Linked DNA regions of Daphnia pulex. The protein of the gene in region 1 purifies or fractionates together with the protein of each later gene. This does not show direct contact. Links are inferred from orthologs where the notes say so. Each region holds a gene or a part of one and is shown on either strand. Other genes may lie near its edges. The genes, in order: E3 ubiquitin-protein ligase MARCHF5-like and dynamin-1-like protein.

Region 1 (7,869 bases):
CTAGGCCGAGTAGACCCCATTCGCCCGTCGTCGTTCCACAAATGCAGCTGAGGAACACTAAATTGTAACGGTGCTTGTTTGAAAGGACTCGCATTAAGTTCTGTAGGTTTCGGTTGTTTCTCACACGGCAACTGCAGGAAAAGAAAGAGGAGCATCACGAGAACCTTGGCTAATAATTTGAACTCCACGCTTGAATCAGCTATCACGGTTTACTGTAATGGAGAATTTAATTATTTTTTAAGCAGTTTTACTTAAATCACGCTTTCAAGTATATTGTACCGATTTTGGTTGTTGTTTCCCCAAGTCCTCCGGCGTCGTCCTATAGAATCATCCAGTACGGAGCTGTTCCACGGGTTACTGCATGGGTCCGTATGCTGTCATACGGTGGCGTTACCATATGAAGCTTTTGTGGAGGTCTTCATGTTTTCATTGTCATTATGTTCCACCCTGATGTCGCACGGAAAATGTTCTTTCATTTCATTGGAAGGGTCCTGGAACGGAGTACCGCCGAAGCCATTGAATTAACTAAGATTCAATTTAAAATTTAATTAATTATTTAAGCCATTAATAGTTTTATGAGTAGACTGGCTGTAGCAACACAAACATGCACTACGATACTACCCAATCAATAATACAACAACAATGAACCTATATAACTCATACAGCTCGATCAATTTTCCCATCTTCTATTTCAACGTCTCCGTTGTAAATATCAGTAAAGATAACAAAAATGAAAATACCAACTTTTACCGGTAGAATCATGTTGATGTTGTCAATATTGATGTCTTGCGATTCTCAATAGTATGTCGTGGAACATTTATTTGCAGAAATTGGTGCTCTTCGTTTCGGCTGATGGCAATTCTGTTTACTTTGCTCGATAGTTACCGCCAGCGCGATTTTCAACTGAACCACTTCCACGAAATGTTGGACGATAAGAACGACTTCACGACTAATTCAACAACCCAATCTCGCCTTCTCGATCAACGTCGTGCAAACTCATATCACCTCGCGACAGGGGACACCTTCCAGGCCAATGGGTTTTCAGAGTTGATTGACCAAAACACAATACCACCAGATACTGTTGAGCGAGTTCCAACGATATAAATTCCGGACGATAGAACTTCGAGAGGCCGATTTGGAAGAAGTAGCGAAATAAAGTTTCTTTCTCAATGCGCCTCCCTGATAATAATAATTAATTTGGTAATTAATTGCTTTAAATCATAAAAGAAGCATTACCTTTTCGTCATTGTGAACATCGGAATTCATCTCCTAGCGTTAGATGTTGATGATGGTTGATTTCTTCACTTATCCTTCAGCAATCGTTCAGTGTGTTATTTCAACCTTAAAAAGAATTCAAGTTTAATCATTGATTGATGTAAATACAAGTTGAATTTACTTTCTTTGTCACACATCTAACGTGCTTCAGTTCCAGGCTGGAAAAGGTATTACGGTCGGCAAAGGACATCAACAATGATGGAAGACTCGGCTTAAATCAGATGATGGAGTTGAGCCTCTAACAATCCGATTAAAACGGACGCTCAACTACGACTGCGAAAATTCCCGACTGAATTGTGCCAATTGAGGTATCGATGATCGAAATGTTTTGCTGGATCTCAAGTGTAGGGCTGGTCTGAGAAACAGCAAAGTCACCTATTTATACAGATCGGATGAAATGGCAATACTTCGAGGCATATCAAACAGAGTGCGGCAGAGTGGGACCAAATTAGAAGAAAATCAGAAAGGGGCGAAATTATGGGACCATATGTTGATAGCTACTATCTCCATGTATCCCTCCATGTTATCTCGAACTGTCTGTATAATATAACCCTGCAAAACTAAGCACAACTAACTCTTACTCAAATATCTACGAACACATATGCACTATGTCGAAATCGTCGTATAAAGTAATAAAAAGAACTTAAAGATGAAGAGTTCAGGGATAGTCTGATCAATTACCTACACACGACGTGGGAAACTATTGAAGCCGTTGTACTCGAGCGTTGACTACTGCCGTAAAAGCCCACAATGAGAGATGGTGAAGCCTGAATAAACAACGTTTTACTTTCAATGAAAATTTAAAAAAAAATCGTGTTTTAATAATTATGACGCACATATATCCAGCGACCATAGAACTATCTGTAACGCCATTGGGCAACGAAAATAATTACCTGGAAGTCCTAGTTGAGTCTTCAGGTTGTACTGAATTCGTGCCATGCAAGCACATGATTTGTGAGCTCGTGATTTAATATCCAAGTACTACTTGTTGACCAATAAAAATTTACGTTGATGTATTATTCTTTGTTTACTTTTTTTAAAGTCATGTCTACCAGATCCAAACAATGCATCTAGAAAACATAAAAATTGATATGAATTCATTTGTTGCCTAAATATAATTGGAGTTACAATATTTATACCTTTTCATATTCCAAACTAGAAAGTGTAGAACTGCTGGATAGCAAAGATGATTTCAGCCAGGTAATGACAAAGAATACTTTAGCTTCTGATGAGACAAGAACAAAAAAATAAAATTATAATTTTGATTGGGTGAATAAAAGCAAGAAAAATGAGCATCTCAATTTCAATGTCTTCACCATTTGGTACATGGTATAACAAACTGCAGAACTTTGCCCAGTAGTCCAATTCTGAAACATAGACCACTCCTCCCTGTAAAGACCAACACAATGGACATTCAAATAGAAACTTAGACAACGGTACATGTATCTAAACGAGAAAGTTTGTTGAACAAACCCTAATACTTGAAGCAAGTCTATTATGCCTCAACAATAAGCAATCTTACAAACAAAGTGAAAGAAAAGTTTAAAAACATTCCATTATAAGTATTAAGTAGAAAACTATTGTGGCAGCATTGGAAACTTCTCAGTTATTATGGTAAATGACAAGGGAGACTTGATCACAAGAAAACTTTATGTCAGAGCTCGTTCACGATCGTCATTCAGCGCAGATAAAGTTGATCGAGTTTAAAAGCACGAACAAGAAAATAAATTACTAAATGAAGGCCGATAATTGTGAACAGAATCGTAACAAAACTAAGATAACATTAGTTGGGGTAATCTGTGAATCATTCATTCATCACTTGACGGATGCTCAGAACAAGAAAACGCGACAAACGTACCTACTCCTATACTTACAACCATCCTTACAAAAGTCAGCGGCACTCAACAGAAGAATGAACGGAATGAAAAAATAGAACAATGAACCAATTAACTATGAAGCTACGAACGAGTGGAAAAACGTGTGGCCGACTGCGAGAAATGATGATGATCTGATGACTTATGAGAACCCCACCTCCTCAACATCCCCTCGGAAATACCAGCAGCACTTTTAGGACTCAATTGCTAAATCCCTAAACACATTTAAATAAATTGCGTCATCGTTTCATCAGAGTAATCTGTGACTCTGGTTTCATTCATCGCTTCCTCCTCGGGGTCAACCATACTTTTTGAAAAAATCTAACTAATAATAAAAAACTATGTTATGTGTCTTTTCCCCTCCCCATTCTCGAGTAAGCTAATGTCGTCGTCGTGTAAACCTGTGTAAACCACTGCGTCAGATTGCCATTTCGTAGTTTACCTTTTGCTTACTTATTATTTCATTATTATGTATTTGATTAGAAGTTAGACTGCATAATTTGATTAGAATTTTTTTTCCTACCTCGCAACTCATGGGGGGGGATGCCAACACCCAACACTTATGACGTTTTATTCCAACTGGTTTCTGTAACGGCTCCTAGATGTCCCTGTAGCATTTTATATTGTGATAAACAACAGAAAGAAAAATAACTGAAATATCATGGAGTCTGAGACAGAAGAACCCGTCATTGAAACGAATCGCCGAGAAGATTTACACGATGATAAGTAAGTGAAAGCAATTAAAAACTTGAATTTGCAATAACTTGGTTGTTTTTTTTTTAGCAAAAGATATTGCTGGGTTTGTTTTGCTACGGATGAGGACGATCTTACGGCTGTGTGGGTGCAACCATGCCAATGTAGTGGGACAACAAGATGGGTTCATGAAAGTTGCCTCCAACGTTGGGTTGACGAAAAGCAGAAAGGCAATTCATTGGAAAGGGTTCACTGTCCACAATGCAACACCCAATATGTTATAGTTTTCCCTCCAATTGGTAACTTTCTTTTTACATTGTTGATGTTTAGTCTGTTTAATGTGATTTCGTTTTTAGGAAAACTCATCTTAGTTCTTGATATTGCTGACCGCATTATTTACAGAGTGTGCCCATTTATAGCAGCTGGTGTTGTCATTGGTTCTATCTATTGGACTGCTGTGACCTATGGGGCGCTTACTATCATGCAAGCGGTTGGGGCCAAAGAAGGACTTGCATTAATGGAACAGTCAGATCCACTTTTTCTTTTGATCGGCCTACCAACAGTTCCTATCATGCTTATACTGGGAAGGCTTGTTCGTTGGGAAGAAGCTCTCTTGGGTTTTCTGAATAAGAATGTTCCCCGGGTGCCCATTGTGAAACATTTACTACCCACTTTTCAAATTGCATCAGATTCTGTGCGGCCCCATACACAGGGTACAGAGCCACCGTTTTCTGATCCGGTTTCTGCTACCAGGGTGTTATGTGGAGCATTAATATTTCCATCAATGGCTGTTCTCTTTGGAAAATTGCTATTTCATCCTGTTCACTCCAATCTAAAGAAAACTTTTTTTGTAAGTGATGTGCTATATTTTTTAATTTTAGTTTTATACCTATTTATAGTAATTCTTGTCTCTCCAGGGTGGTATTGCTTTTTTGATGCTCAAAGGAGCCTTGAAAATCTATTACAAGCAACAAATTCTTATTCGGCAATATCAACGCCGTGTGCTGGACTTCGCCAAAAGGCCATCCGACGGAAAAGAAATAAAAACAAGCAGTAATACTAATCCGTAATTAGAAAGTATGAATTTTGGGATTACATGAAAGTGTATATATTAATCTTGATTTGGGTGGGTTAAGATCAGTTTGTGTATTTGAACACATTGATACATTTTTTTTTAAACATTAGTTACAGTACTGAAACTGTTTCTGTTGAGATGCTGCTGCAAATAAAACTTGTTGGAACTTTAACCTGTGTTGCTACCTTAATTAGTTTAATTCATGCTGTAGGTGTTTGATGTCAGGTCCACAGTAGGTCAAAGAGTCACACCAGAAAGAAGGTGGACAAGAAGTCTTTTTCAGCAATCTGATTTCAGAATTAGATGGCATTCCATCTTCTCCTGCAACATCTGAGTAGTAGTAGCAATCTCTAACCTTCCCACCATTCAGAGTGCCACTTGGATCATATGGAGGTGCCAAAATATCCAGAAAAGATGCAGGACCTCCAACAGTCCAAATTGTGTGCAGGTTGTGTTCAGAAGGTGAAAGCACAGCAGGGCTATCCTTCTCATTAATACAGGAGATGGGAAATCTTCTCGCCTTTAGGTACTGAGGTTGGTGCACTATAGAGCTGTTGGTTTGTCCAGGGAGATCAATTGGAGAGTAGCTTTGTACATTAAGGCTCCCATACAACACTTTCAAGATTCCGTACATACCTTTAATCAATCATCATTTCAACAATAATTAAAGTTTTCTTTAAATTTACATCTGAATCAGTTACCAACATGATCATGCAGGGGAATAGAAGCTCCATCTTTGAGGACAAATATACCGATGCTAACAGTCTGGTTTTCAAAAATTTCCATGTAAGAGACTGGTGCAGCTTTTGATGAAAACAAATTTAAGGGAAAGCGAGGCTGGCCAGAATAGCGAGTTAATCCAAGGTCGTCAGCTGGGCAAATTTCACTTAACAGCTGTCGTAGAATGTTCATGTTGTGACTAACATTTGCGTTGACGAAGGAACCGTTTGGTTTAGTTGCGAATGTTTGTACTGCTGTACGTATCACATTTTCTATTCGAGAACCCATACTCGACAACTTAAAAGGTACGTTGGTTTTTCAGATCTACGTGACTACAGATAAACATGACCTAGTTGGAACTTGGAAACTTGGGCATTAACAATTAAACACGAATGCAGATGCAGTGCAAAACTGGCAATGGGATCTCAGTTAGCAGACGACGTAAAAAAAAAGAGTAGTAAAATTTTTTAAATTTGGGATTGTAGCAAATAGCTATGGACGGAAGTATTTTTATCCCTTTAAAATATTATTTTATCCTATTTCATAAACATTTAAAAAAACTTTATAACCATTTAACTTATCACAACCCCAAATTTTACGCAGATCGATACATCGATCGGTAAACAAAACTTGAGTGATAATTTTCACTTTTCAGATCTTAGGTTTGTTTCAATAAATTAATTGCGGAATTCTTAATCATTCAAGTTTTTGTCTAGTCTATAAGATGTGTTAGCTAATAGATTTACGATTTACTACTTCCTACATCTTTCTATGTACAGGCATTTTTAAAAATCTATACTTTACGGTACTGTAGTTTCAATTTAAAAAGCAGCTGTAGTGTAGTCGACATTAAATCAATGCGCTATTTTTTAAGAAAAATTTGTATAATACAATTTTGTTTAACATATTAAATGAGAACATATCCAACCCGACATGCACATTTAGAGAATTTACTTACATGAAAAGGTTTAAAATAAGTTTTCCGATCAAGCAATATACTTTTAATCTAAACACTCAACGATCTGGTCGTCTGACTGGTCATCGCTGTCGCTCTCGTAATCACTCCCTTGCAAATCCTTCATTACCCGTATCTTAAAATTGGCGTAGGCATCACCGTGTCGAGGATAGTCGTCTTTTGAGTAGATAAAATCGTCATCATCAGACGACAATTCGTTAGTTGCATCCAAATACATTCCAGACATTTTCCCAATAACATCTTCATCACTTCTGAAATAAGATAATAAACTATTAGCATCAAATTGTGATTTTATTTTACAATTGGAAATTCATGATTGATATACCCTTGTTCTTCATCGGGATCTGTATCAGGATATTCATTGCGGTAGTTGTTTTCATCATTCGAATCGTCACTGTGGTCGGTTTCACTGTCTTCATGATCTCCAGAGTTGTAATAGGGTTGAACACTACAAATAATAATAACAATAAAAAATATGAAGATTTAAAACAGAATCCACACTGATTATGTGTACCTCATGAGACGATCAATGTAAGAGTCATCAAATGTTCCTCCTTCACAGTAGTACAAATCAAAGACACACTCCTTCTCATTTTCTTTCAATACTTCACACTTCTCTACAACAAGAGGGATCCCATTGCAAGTGGCAATTTCACCTTTTTCATGTTCTTCAAGTACAAGGTCATAAACTTTCATCGTATTTGTGGCATCAAGATCCCGGAATGTGTTGAGAACCTAATAACTAAACTTTAACCAATGTTTAGCAACTATGAGATTTATTTGAAAAATACCTTATATTTCTTTTCACTGTTTATAGCAACTGAACTTTCTTCTTTTCTTGACTGAAATGAAGAGCTTTTATAAGCCTTTGGAGTTTGACGGTGAGACAACAACTTTCCCTTTTCAACCAACTTGGCAATATTTTGCAAATTTTCTTCCTGTACAGTGCATCAGTAGAATTAATAATTGACAAACAAACATGAAAATCAAACCAAATACCTCATTCTCTGTAGATCCACAAAATTTGAAAATGTTCTCTTCAACTGCCTGTTCAGAACCTTCCACTTTAATACGTTTGGTTGCAAGAACAAGGGCTTCAGCTGGTTCCTGACTTTGTCTACGTTTAATTCTTACGATAGACGTCATTTTTGTGTGTAATTTTATTGAAATCCCGTTCAATTTAATGATTTGTTTCGAAATAACGACACAGACTTCGTAGTCTGTGGTAACGGTCTGCTGTCTGCTCTCTTGACAAC
Region 2 (8,781 bases), about 9.1 Mb from region 1:
AAAAGTATTTGTACCGTTATCAACCATCGTTTGATTCACATACGCGACTGCGCACCCAGTTATCGCCTGTTGTGCCTCTTTTTCCGTTTCGTAGGTCTATAAGGAAAATTCTGCATTAGAAACTTGCAGGTTAACAAGAACTTGTGAAATTAACTTACATCCGCAGAAGTGAACATGTTGTAAGGGAGGCCCATTTTCGGAATAGTTATCTAATTAAAATGATTTAGTGTCACCACTAATTAGTTTGTAAAATCAATATCACCTTGGCCAAATAACGTTCGTCTACGCCTTTGCGAAGTTCGATTATTGGCTCACCGAGATCGTACAATTGGCACAAAGAATCGAGTATCTGTAATAACAATTAAAAATTCGAATTGAAACAAGGACAAAACAAAATGGAAGGAGATAATCAAGTTTTGACCTTTACGTTATCAGTGTAACCTCCATTCGTCCAGGGCATGTACAGGTTCATGTGTGAGGTAGCAGCGCAAACCTAGAAAAAAACAACAACAACATTTGTAAAACCTCGTCACTACGATACACGATTAGATCATATCAAGTTACGGTATTTTCATTCTTCTGCTGACCGATGAAATTCGAAGTTGTTTGAGGTGGATAATCGTTGCAATATAAATTAATTGGTAATTGGTTGTGTCTGCGACCCGGCATCATGTAGTTATACAAGGTGTTCCTAATGAGCAGCAAACAATCAATTTAAACGTCTATTCAAATGTGTTTCCGTTTCTTATACTGTTGGGGATAGAGCGGATAGGACGGATAAGCCTGGAGCGGTAGACCGTTTTGAGGTTGAATAACGCCAGGATGAGAGAAAGTGAAGTGTGGCCACATTTGTTGAAATGTTGTCGCTGGATATCGTGTTTGACGAGTCATCCCCGAGGTAAACAACATAGTGGAGGAAGCTATCAATTTGCTTCGTGCGTTGCTACGTTTGGGCTTATCCCCGACTGGTTTCGCCCATGTAATTTGCATTTTGATCCCATTCAGCTCGCGATCTATTTAACAGACGGGTAATTCCTTAATAGGAAATAAGCATATACGAGAATCTAATACCTTGAAGAGCATCCATGGCTTGCTGGGCCTGCGAACGGCTGCCAAAGTGAATGAATGCGAAATCATTTAAGATTTTCACCTTTTCAACGCCGCCATTGCCGGCCCTATCAAACAGCTCTTCCAATTCCTTCTCTTTCGTCGTTATCAACAGATTGCGGACGTAGAGCACACGCACCTGAATATTGCGGTTTGAAATTACGATAAGTCCATGTTTAAAGGAGAATTTAATACGATAAGAAGGCCCCGTTAAGAGTATTGATAAAGCGGTGAATCATTTTATCGGCACTTGACTTGTTTTCCCATTCACCAAACAAACGAAATGAAAATTGAAATTTTTACCTTGGACAGGATTTCTTCTTCGACTACGGGTTCGGGCTCTGCCCAGTCAACGGCCACGTTCTTCCCCCACAGCAGCAACCGATCCGGTAGGCATTTCCTACGAGCCAAAGCGGCAGCTCGGTGCGATTCGTATTCGATGAAAGCAAATCCTCTATTCTTCTTCTTGTCGACTACTGAACTAAACACGCCAAAAATAAAAAAAAGGTATTTAATTACAGGTGTAAATGTATGACTAGTAAACATTTTTACCTGTAGAGAATAACGCGGACGACACCCTCTGTAATGCGTGACATTTCTTTGTGTATCTCCTCTTCGGATTTGTCTTTGGGTATTCCACCGATGAATAGGCGACAGTTGTCCATGGACCTGATGACACCAATGAATCGACCGGGTCGGATTTCGTAGCGATTCAATTTCTGGATGGCTTTGCCTGCATCCGCTGGCGTTGCAAATGTCACAAAAGCGAACCCACGGTTGGTCTCATTCGTGTCCATCATTAGACGGATTTCGTAGACTGGGCCGACGGTTTGAAAGACGGGCAGAAGCTCGTTCTCCATTAGATCGCGGGGAATTTTCCCAACAAATACTTCTCCGCCTTTGGAGGGCGGTGGCCCTGTCCAGCCTTCTGGCGGCCCACCGTACCTCCTTTGTCCACTTCGCAACATGATATTTTACTAGAGAATCAGATTCGGACTGCAACCGGAGATTCACTAAAGACTCTCTCTCTCTCTTTCTCTCTAGAAAAGGGATAAGTCTGTTGAGCTTCCGATCAGTTGACTGTACTCGAGAGAACTAGAGTTGGGCACGTGAAAGCCGACGAGCTTCGAGTGATTTCCCTTATCTTTTTAACTGTGCGTGTGTATCTGCTGGGTGAGTGTGTGTGTCATTCGAGTGCAGGGAATTTTCGAGTCGCGGAAAGGAGAAAAAAAAAACACTCCCTCATTACGCTGATAACGTCTGATCACAAGGCTGTGCCTCATCTGAAAAACGAAGCTATTCAATTCACCCTGAAAAGAAGAAAATTAACCAGCCAAATGGATTCACTAAAAATTAGGGAGGTGAACCGTGAAACACTTGAAAAGGAGTAATTCGTCCTGATTATTCGTCGTTATCGTTTCTTTGCCGACTAATCTCACGAAAATATCCCAAAAACCGGCCGACCCGTCGACAGTTGGGCAACACAAAACACTGATGACGGGAGGGGCTGGACTAGAGTTCTTTTTTTTATCTTCGCATTAAAGAAAAAAGATACAGCACTAGGCATTCGTGGAATTAACCGACGACGAGTCAATCGATGACGAATTTCCTACTGGATTAAAAATGGACGGTGATAAAAACATGCCGAAATCAAACATGACTGCGCAACTGGTTGCCCTTTACATGCTCCGAAGGCCAATTACAGAAAAAAATAATAAACATCACTAAAATCTATTGGCAAAATTTAAAAAAAAAAGGGGCTAAATAGTTTGGTCATCTACAGTTGGAAATATTTTACGTTTTTCCCTCCCATCATTTCAACATTATTTTATTGTACTGAAAATAATAATTAAAAAAAAAAGAATAACATACATCGGACTACATTTGTAAATGTGGAATGAAAAATACTAACTGGAGGAGATTTTACGATATTCTATGCCCATCTCTCAGATGTCTAATTCGCAAAATAGTTGGGAACAGACTACAACTGGACGAAAAAAAAGGAGGGGGGGGGGGGAGCCCTAGAAAAATTTTAATTTTTTTTTTGTATGAGCGATCGAGTGACAGAAGAAGAAAAAAAGACTAGATCACGTATAACGGAGAGCACACTACAATCGAAAAGAATTTAGAGAGAGTATAAACTTCACCAAAAATGGGTCTCCCGAATCTCGCCGATAATCACGCTGGCTCGTTGAAGTGCCTCGAGCATATCCGCAGCTTCTTTGCGGCGCTGAGCTATGTGCTCCGACTCGGCCAGCAATAAATCAATTTGATCGGGGCGATAGAGGTGAGTTACCAATTCCGACTGCAAGTTGTCCTTGACGTGATTGACCAGGAAGTGCATCACAGCTTTCGGCACGGAATCTTGGATCGATTTACGGACGATGTAAAAGTAGGTTTTAATCAGTCGCTCTAAGGAGAAGAAAAGATGAGTTGTTTTTTAATTGGGACGTTGTTCAACTGGAAAATATAAAGTTTGACGTAGTAGTATACCAATAACTTCACAATCCCTCTTCTCTCGCTCAGACAACTTTCGCTCGGGTTGGTGCACAGCTTCCGAGAGCAGATTCACCGGTTTCTGATGCCCGAAAGGGTTCTGAAGTGGAACGGGTGATGCGTGATGAGTAGGCGTCGCGGCCGGGGTGTTTTCACCAGAATTATCGTTCATCATCAAGTCCTCTCGTCCGGCCGGAAGCAAATTGCTCAGCCAATTGGTTTGTTGTACAAAAGGAGCACCACCACCGTTGCTATCAATCAACGAGACTGATGTCTTCTGAACGCGAATCTGTCGGTGGCAGCAACAACAACATCTTTTGTGACGGACAAAACTTTTGGAATCAAAATGTTATCGAAATCGTACTTCTCTAGACGGAGAAGCAGCCTCGCCGTTGGGAATAGCCGGAGGGAAGAGCACTGGTTGTTTTTTCGACGAAACTTGTCTGGATGGTTGAACTTTTTGAGAGACAGGCTCTTCAATGTGAGAATGCATTAGCGTCGATACGAGCGAAGCTTCACGGTGAAAGTCGGGGTGTTTGGTGTTGATATAAGCGAGCTCAATGGCGACAAGGTTTTCAACCTAAAACAACAAACGTGATTCTCAATCAGAGCGGACAACAAGTTTACCCCCACCGGTATTTACCATGATGTTGGTGGGAGGAAGACGCTGTCTCAACAGTGTAGTGACTACGTCAACAATTTTCTCGTGAAGTTTAGGGAAGCGGAGCATTTCCTGTTGAACTTCCGTGCCGCAATGTTGAATGATTCTTTGCATCTCCTCGTGAACCAATTCAATGCACCGCAGCGAAGGATCTTCGAGGCGACGAATTTGACGTTTCACCAACAATTCAAAAGAAACCTTGTAAAATAAATCATGTTAATGCATTGCATGATGTATAAAGGACAAGTTTTTGTTTTACCTCTGGGACAAATAAGGCAGGCCTGGGACCTGTTGCATTGCGAATAGCAGTGAGTATATCTAATGTGGTTAAACCAGATAGTGGATGAATAGAATCTAAAGTCCTTCCAAACGTTTCGTGGAAGATGTAACAAATCCTCGCACCACCACACCTGCAAGACTGAACTATTAGCAAGAATTTGGTTTGTCGAGAATTGATAAATGTCACTCACAGTTCGGTGGTTTCAATATTCCTGGCCGTGCCTTCGATCGTGGCGCAATACGACGAGGCAAACTTGGTGATGATTTGAAGCAAAGTTTGACTTTTATCTCTGACTTGATCTCCATACGAGTGAAGTAGCGCTTGAAATTGTGACATCATCAAATTGACTCTTGTTTTGAGCTCAGGGAGGCAGTCGCGGATGTGGTGCATCAAGAGTCGTTGCAGGGTTTTCCCCAAGTAGGCCGTTCCGTTGCGGGTTGCCAAAGTGGGATAGCGGCGCTGGAGAAAGCTCATTTCATCTTTTAACGCTTCTTCGATGCTCTGGTTTACATAGAAAAAGTTACTTCTCCAGAAACCTAATCAATGTGTATATAGCGTCGAGCATTTACCTTGTTATTTTGTATGTCTTTTTGAGACCGGTTGACTAATCCAATAATGCCGAGTTTAACTGGAATAACTCTGCCACACAGGACATCTATGGCATCAGTTCCTGAAAGAATTAAAAAAATTCAAACTTTAAGCCCCAGCTGAAGAGATAATTGAAGTTGAAACATTAAAAACTCACCTGCATCCATGAGATCTAACTTGGTCATGACAGCTAAGGTTCTCCTTCCCTCTGGATCAACTTCTCTTGCAAGTTTGAGGGCTTCAGAAGTAGCCAAATCTGTCGTGGCTGGAGTGACAGCCAAAATCAAGCTGTTGGGATTGCTGACAAAACTAAAAATAAGTTCATAAATCTTTGCTTCAATGTCCTCTGGTTGGTCCCCAACTGGAACTTTTGTGATTCCAGGAAGATCGACAAGTGTAAGATTGACTACTTTAGTAGAGTAAACCTGCACAATGACATTAGATCACAGTTAATACAGGGGCAATAACAAAGAAATAGAGTCTAATCAATCACCTTCAAGCTCATGGGCTCATGGGCTATTCCCTTGTTGTGCCCTGCTACCCGATCAGTTTCATGTTCAATTTCGCTCAAGACTTCCCTAAAGTCTGTAAATATTTTGTTTTTCAGATGCAGAAACTTTGCCCATTCTTCCAAGTGTAGTGTCCCTGAAAATATTGACCTTGAAATAATTGCAATGAGATGAAAAGAGTATTGCACAAACAACCTTCATCTGCAGAGCGATGTTCTTTATCTTCTAGTGGGGTATAAATAAGTTGCAGGACTAAAGGTCGTCGTGTAACAATTCCAGTTCCTCTCGGTAAGAATGTTCTGCCTACAAGCCCTTCAATGACTGAACTTTTTCCTGAGCTCTACAGGGGGGGAAAAGAACAAAATTTACAATTATTTATTGCCTTAAAGATGGAACTGAATCGAAAAAAGAAATGTTACTGTACCTGCGTGCCGACAACAACAATCTGTGGTAACTGAATCGTATCGGCTCCGACTGTGTGAAAAACATCTTGCAGTTTGTTGATGACAGGAATTAATTGTTCCATGCTTAAAGAAGATCGGCTTGTTCACCACACGTGAATATATTTGAACGTGGGGTTCTAACTAATCCGTATATTACTTCAGTGTACGTTATTAACAGTTTTCCGCTCTTTATTAAGCAGACAACGGTAGACCAATGAAAGAACTCGACGATGGCCACCTGGCGGTCTCGAAAGAAACTGATCATCAGCTGCAATATTATAAAAAATATGAAAATATGAAAAAGAAAATTTAATATGCTGATTCCAAAAAAGGAGAAATCCGCTTCGGCTATTGCGACAGTAAGGAAATAGTTTGATGACGAAAATCAATTTTTGCGGCAACTCTATGCGCCAAACTGAAGGGCATGGAACGCAGAACGAAAAGGGAAAGTCAGATAATCAATAAAAAAATGATAACGCATTTTATCTACATTATTTGATGTTCTCTTGCTGCTGCTTTATAAAAATGTCTCAAGGTGTATAACCACACGCTTAAGTGCAGTTAGATAAAAAAATATTTTTATGGCCCATAAAATTATTATTTCTTTTTTAAGAACGTCAGTTGCAAAGATGAATAAGAATTTATTACCTCGCCCAAGAAATAATTAGATCAACTACGTTACTGGCTTGATAATCAATAATAATCCGAAAAAATATAGGGCGGAATGTTGTAATCGGGCAATCCCGTTAACTATTGTTTATGTTTTCAAACTAGCAGACGATAAAACTCGGTTCGAGTCAGTTTTAAAGTCAAATGTGTCTTTCACGTCAACTCATAAATAAATAATCCCTTGAGCTTTTTTTAACGTCTATTCCAATGGCAGCAACATCAATAATGAAAATACCTTGTAAAATGGCAGAACTGTCCCTGGATATTTCACTGAATTGTGGACAGAGTTTCAGGTTGGGGAAAAAAGTACATTGATAATCTGTCGGCTATGATTTGAAAACATGTTTTTAAAATTCTCAGGTGGAAAAAATCCCTCACTGGCGAGTGGATTGGTGTGTTGGGAGGCTATTTGTGGCTAATGACTCAGGATGAGACTTGCATCAATTATCGTGTTGTCCAACCCCCAGTTAAAATTGAACCAGCATCGAGCCCATCAGCCGTAAAGACAGAGTTGAAGGAATGTATTGATTACGAACACATACTCAAAGACTACTTTCAATTGGATATTGATTTGGAAAGTCTTTACAGGCAGTGGTCACTAGCTGATCCAAATTTCAATCAAGTTGCCAAGAATTTTGCAGGTGTGCGAATGCTGAGGCAGGACCCCGTTGAAAATCTGTTTGCATTCATTTGCTCGTCAAACAACAACATCCAGAGGTTTGTTTCCAAAATCATTTCTCGAATATGTCAAGTATAAAAAATGTTGCTCCATTCCCAGAATCACGGGCATGGTTGAAAAATTGTGTGAAAACTATGGAAATCAATTATTGACGCACGAAGACGTTGCCTATTATTCATTTCCAGCGCTGGAATCGCTAGCCGCTGACAAAGTGGAATCTCGATTGAGAACTCTGGGCTTTGGTTACCGGGCCAAATTCATCCAACAGTCTGCAGCCAAGATTGTCGAAAACGGTGGCAGAGATTGGCTCATGAATTTGAGAAACGTTTCCTACCCTGAAGCTAAAACTGCCTTGATGACTCTACCAGGAATAGGCGCCAAGGTATATCAGACATTTCTTTTATAAAAATTGAAAATTTATTATTTTTATTTAAAAAAGGTGGCTGACTGCATCTGTTTAATGTCGCTGGATCACAGTGTGGCAATCCCGGTGGACACGCACGTCTTCCAAATCGCCAAGGCCAGCTACGTGCCGCACCTGAGCCAAACGAAAAGTGTGACGGACAAGGTCTACAAAGAGATCAGCGCTCATTTCCAATCTCTGTTTGGACCGTACGCTGGATGGGCCCATTCGGTATGACAACACCTTTTTTCAAAATAAATTTGTCTGTCGGACGCGATTGAAATTTTAAATTCTAAATAAAAAAAAACAGGTTCTTTTCAGCGCCGACTTGCGCCATCTGAAAGCCGAGCCGTCACCGGCCAAGAAAAGGAGCCGTGAAAAAAGTCAAGACGTCAGCAGCAGCAAAGAGAAGCCGAAAAAAAGATGAAATCCGCCGCAAGTCTAAGAAATGATGGTCGTCGTCGTCACATATGTTTGTTGTAACGGCCGAGACATTTATGTTTTTTTAAATGATGTGTTTGTTTGCGTACATTGTAAACTAGGAAAAATACGAAGAAAATGTTATTTTGTCAAAGGAAAATGGACTTGATTGATGACGCCTGGCCAAGTAAAGCCCAGGCTCGGAATATATAGAAAGAAAAACACACAGTCCGTGATTAATGGACTTATCACATCTTTTTTTTAGCTTCTTCTTTTTCTAATAAGAATAATAAGACGGGTGCTCTGTAATGCCTTGAGGCTCTGGTCTTTTCCAGTTGCCTAACCTCCACACCGAATGCGCGCCAAAGTCTTTAAATGGATTAATACAAAATACCAAAAAAGAAAAGGAAAGGAGCAGATTGGGTCGCCGGAAGGTTTATTTCACGCCGATTAAACGTCTCGGCGTCTTTAACCGGATCGGACAACTTTAGACTATTTTATCTCTGCAACAACAACAACAAGAGTA

What was found.
Region 2: the proteins of E3 ubiquitin-protein ligase MARCHF5-like (region 1) and dynamin-1-like protein purify together in Homo sapiens (affinity purification with western blotting, with the first as the bait; 3 studies listed by BioGRID). This does not show direct contact. The link is inferred for Daphnia pulex from reciprocal best matches to the Homo sapiens genes MARCHF5 and DNM1L.

The regions. Positions count from the first base shown.
Region 1 is NC_060025.1:255,524-263,392, reverse strand, and holds E3 ubiquitin-protein ligase MARCHF5-like, read left to right. Parts: upstream 1-3,430; 5' UTR 3,431-3,523; intron 3,524-3,737; exon of another isoform or gene 3,738-3,751; 5' UTR 3,752-3,810; coding exon 3,811-3,875; intron 3,876-3,932; coding exon 3,933-4,141; intron 4,142-4,198; coding exon 4,199-4,692; intron 4,693-4,759; coding exon 4,760-4,912; 3' UTR 4,913-5,089; downstream 5,090-7,869. Other genes in the region: 2-aminoethanethiol dioxygenase-like, read right to left, coding at 5,108-5,553, 5,619-5,925; probable RNA polymerase II nuclear localization protein SLC7A6OS, read right to left, coding at 6,639-6,864, 6,939-7,061, 7,128-7,348, 7,405-7,551, 7,613-7,759. UniProt on the Homo sapiens protein: Mitochondrial E3 ubiquitin-protein ligase that plays a crucial role in the control of mitochondrial morphology by acting as a positive regulator of mitochondrial fission and as an important regulator of immune response.
Region 2 is NC_060025.1:9,331,757-9,340,537, reverse strand, and holds the end of dynamin-1-like protein, read right to left. Parts: intron 8,416-8,781; exon of another isoform or gene 8,263-8,415; coding exon of another isoform or gene 8,146-8,262; intron 8,067-8,145; coding exon of another isoform or gene 7,872-8,066; intron 7,815-7,871; coding exon of another isoform or gene 7,532-7,814; intron 7,471-7,531; coding exon of another isoform or gene 7,114-7,470; intron 7,047-7,113; coding exon of another isoform or gene 6,961-7,046; exon of another isoform or gene 6,642-6,960; intron 6,353-6,641; 5' UTR 6,168-6,352; coding exon 6,066-6,167; intron 5,982-6,065; coding exon 5,837-5,981; intron 5,778-5,836; coding exon 5,626-5,777; intron 5,558-5,625; coding exon 5,290-5,557; intron 5,215-5,289; coding exon 5,114-5,214; intron 5,046-5,113; coding exon 4,735-5,045; intron 4,675-4,734; coding exon 4,524-4,674; intron 4,463-4,523; coding exon 4,247-4,462; intron 4,184-4,246; coding exon 3,968-4,183; intron 3,893-3,967; coding exon 3,601-3,892; intron 3,520-3,600; coding exon 3,251-3,519; 3' UTR 2,920-3,250; downstream 1-2,919. Other genes in the region: probable RNA-binding protein 46, read right to left, coding at 15-96, 159-209, 263-349, 422-493, 565-691, 752-1,013, 1,072-1,246, 1,411-1,588 and 1 more; N-glycosylase/DNA lyase-like, read left to right, coding at 6,961-7,046, 7,114-7,470, 7,532-7,814, 7,872-8,066, 8,146-8,262. UniProt on the Homo sapiens protein: Functions in mitochondrial and peroxisomal division.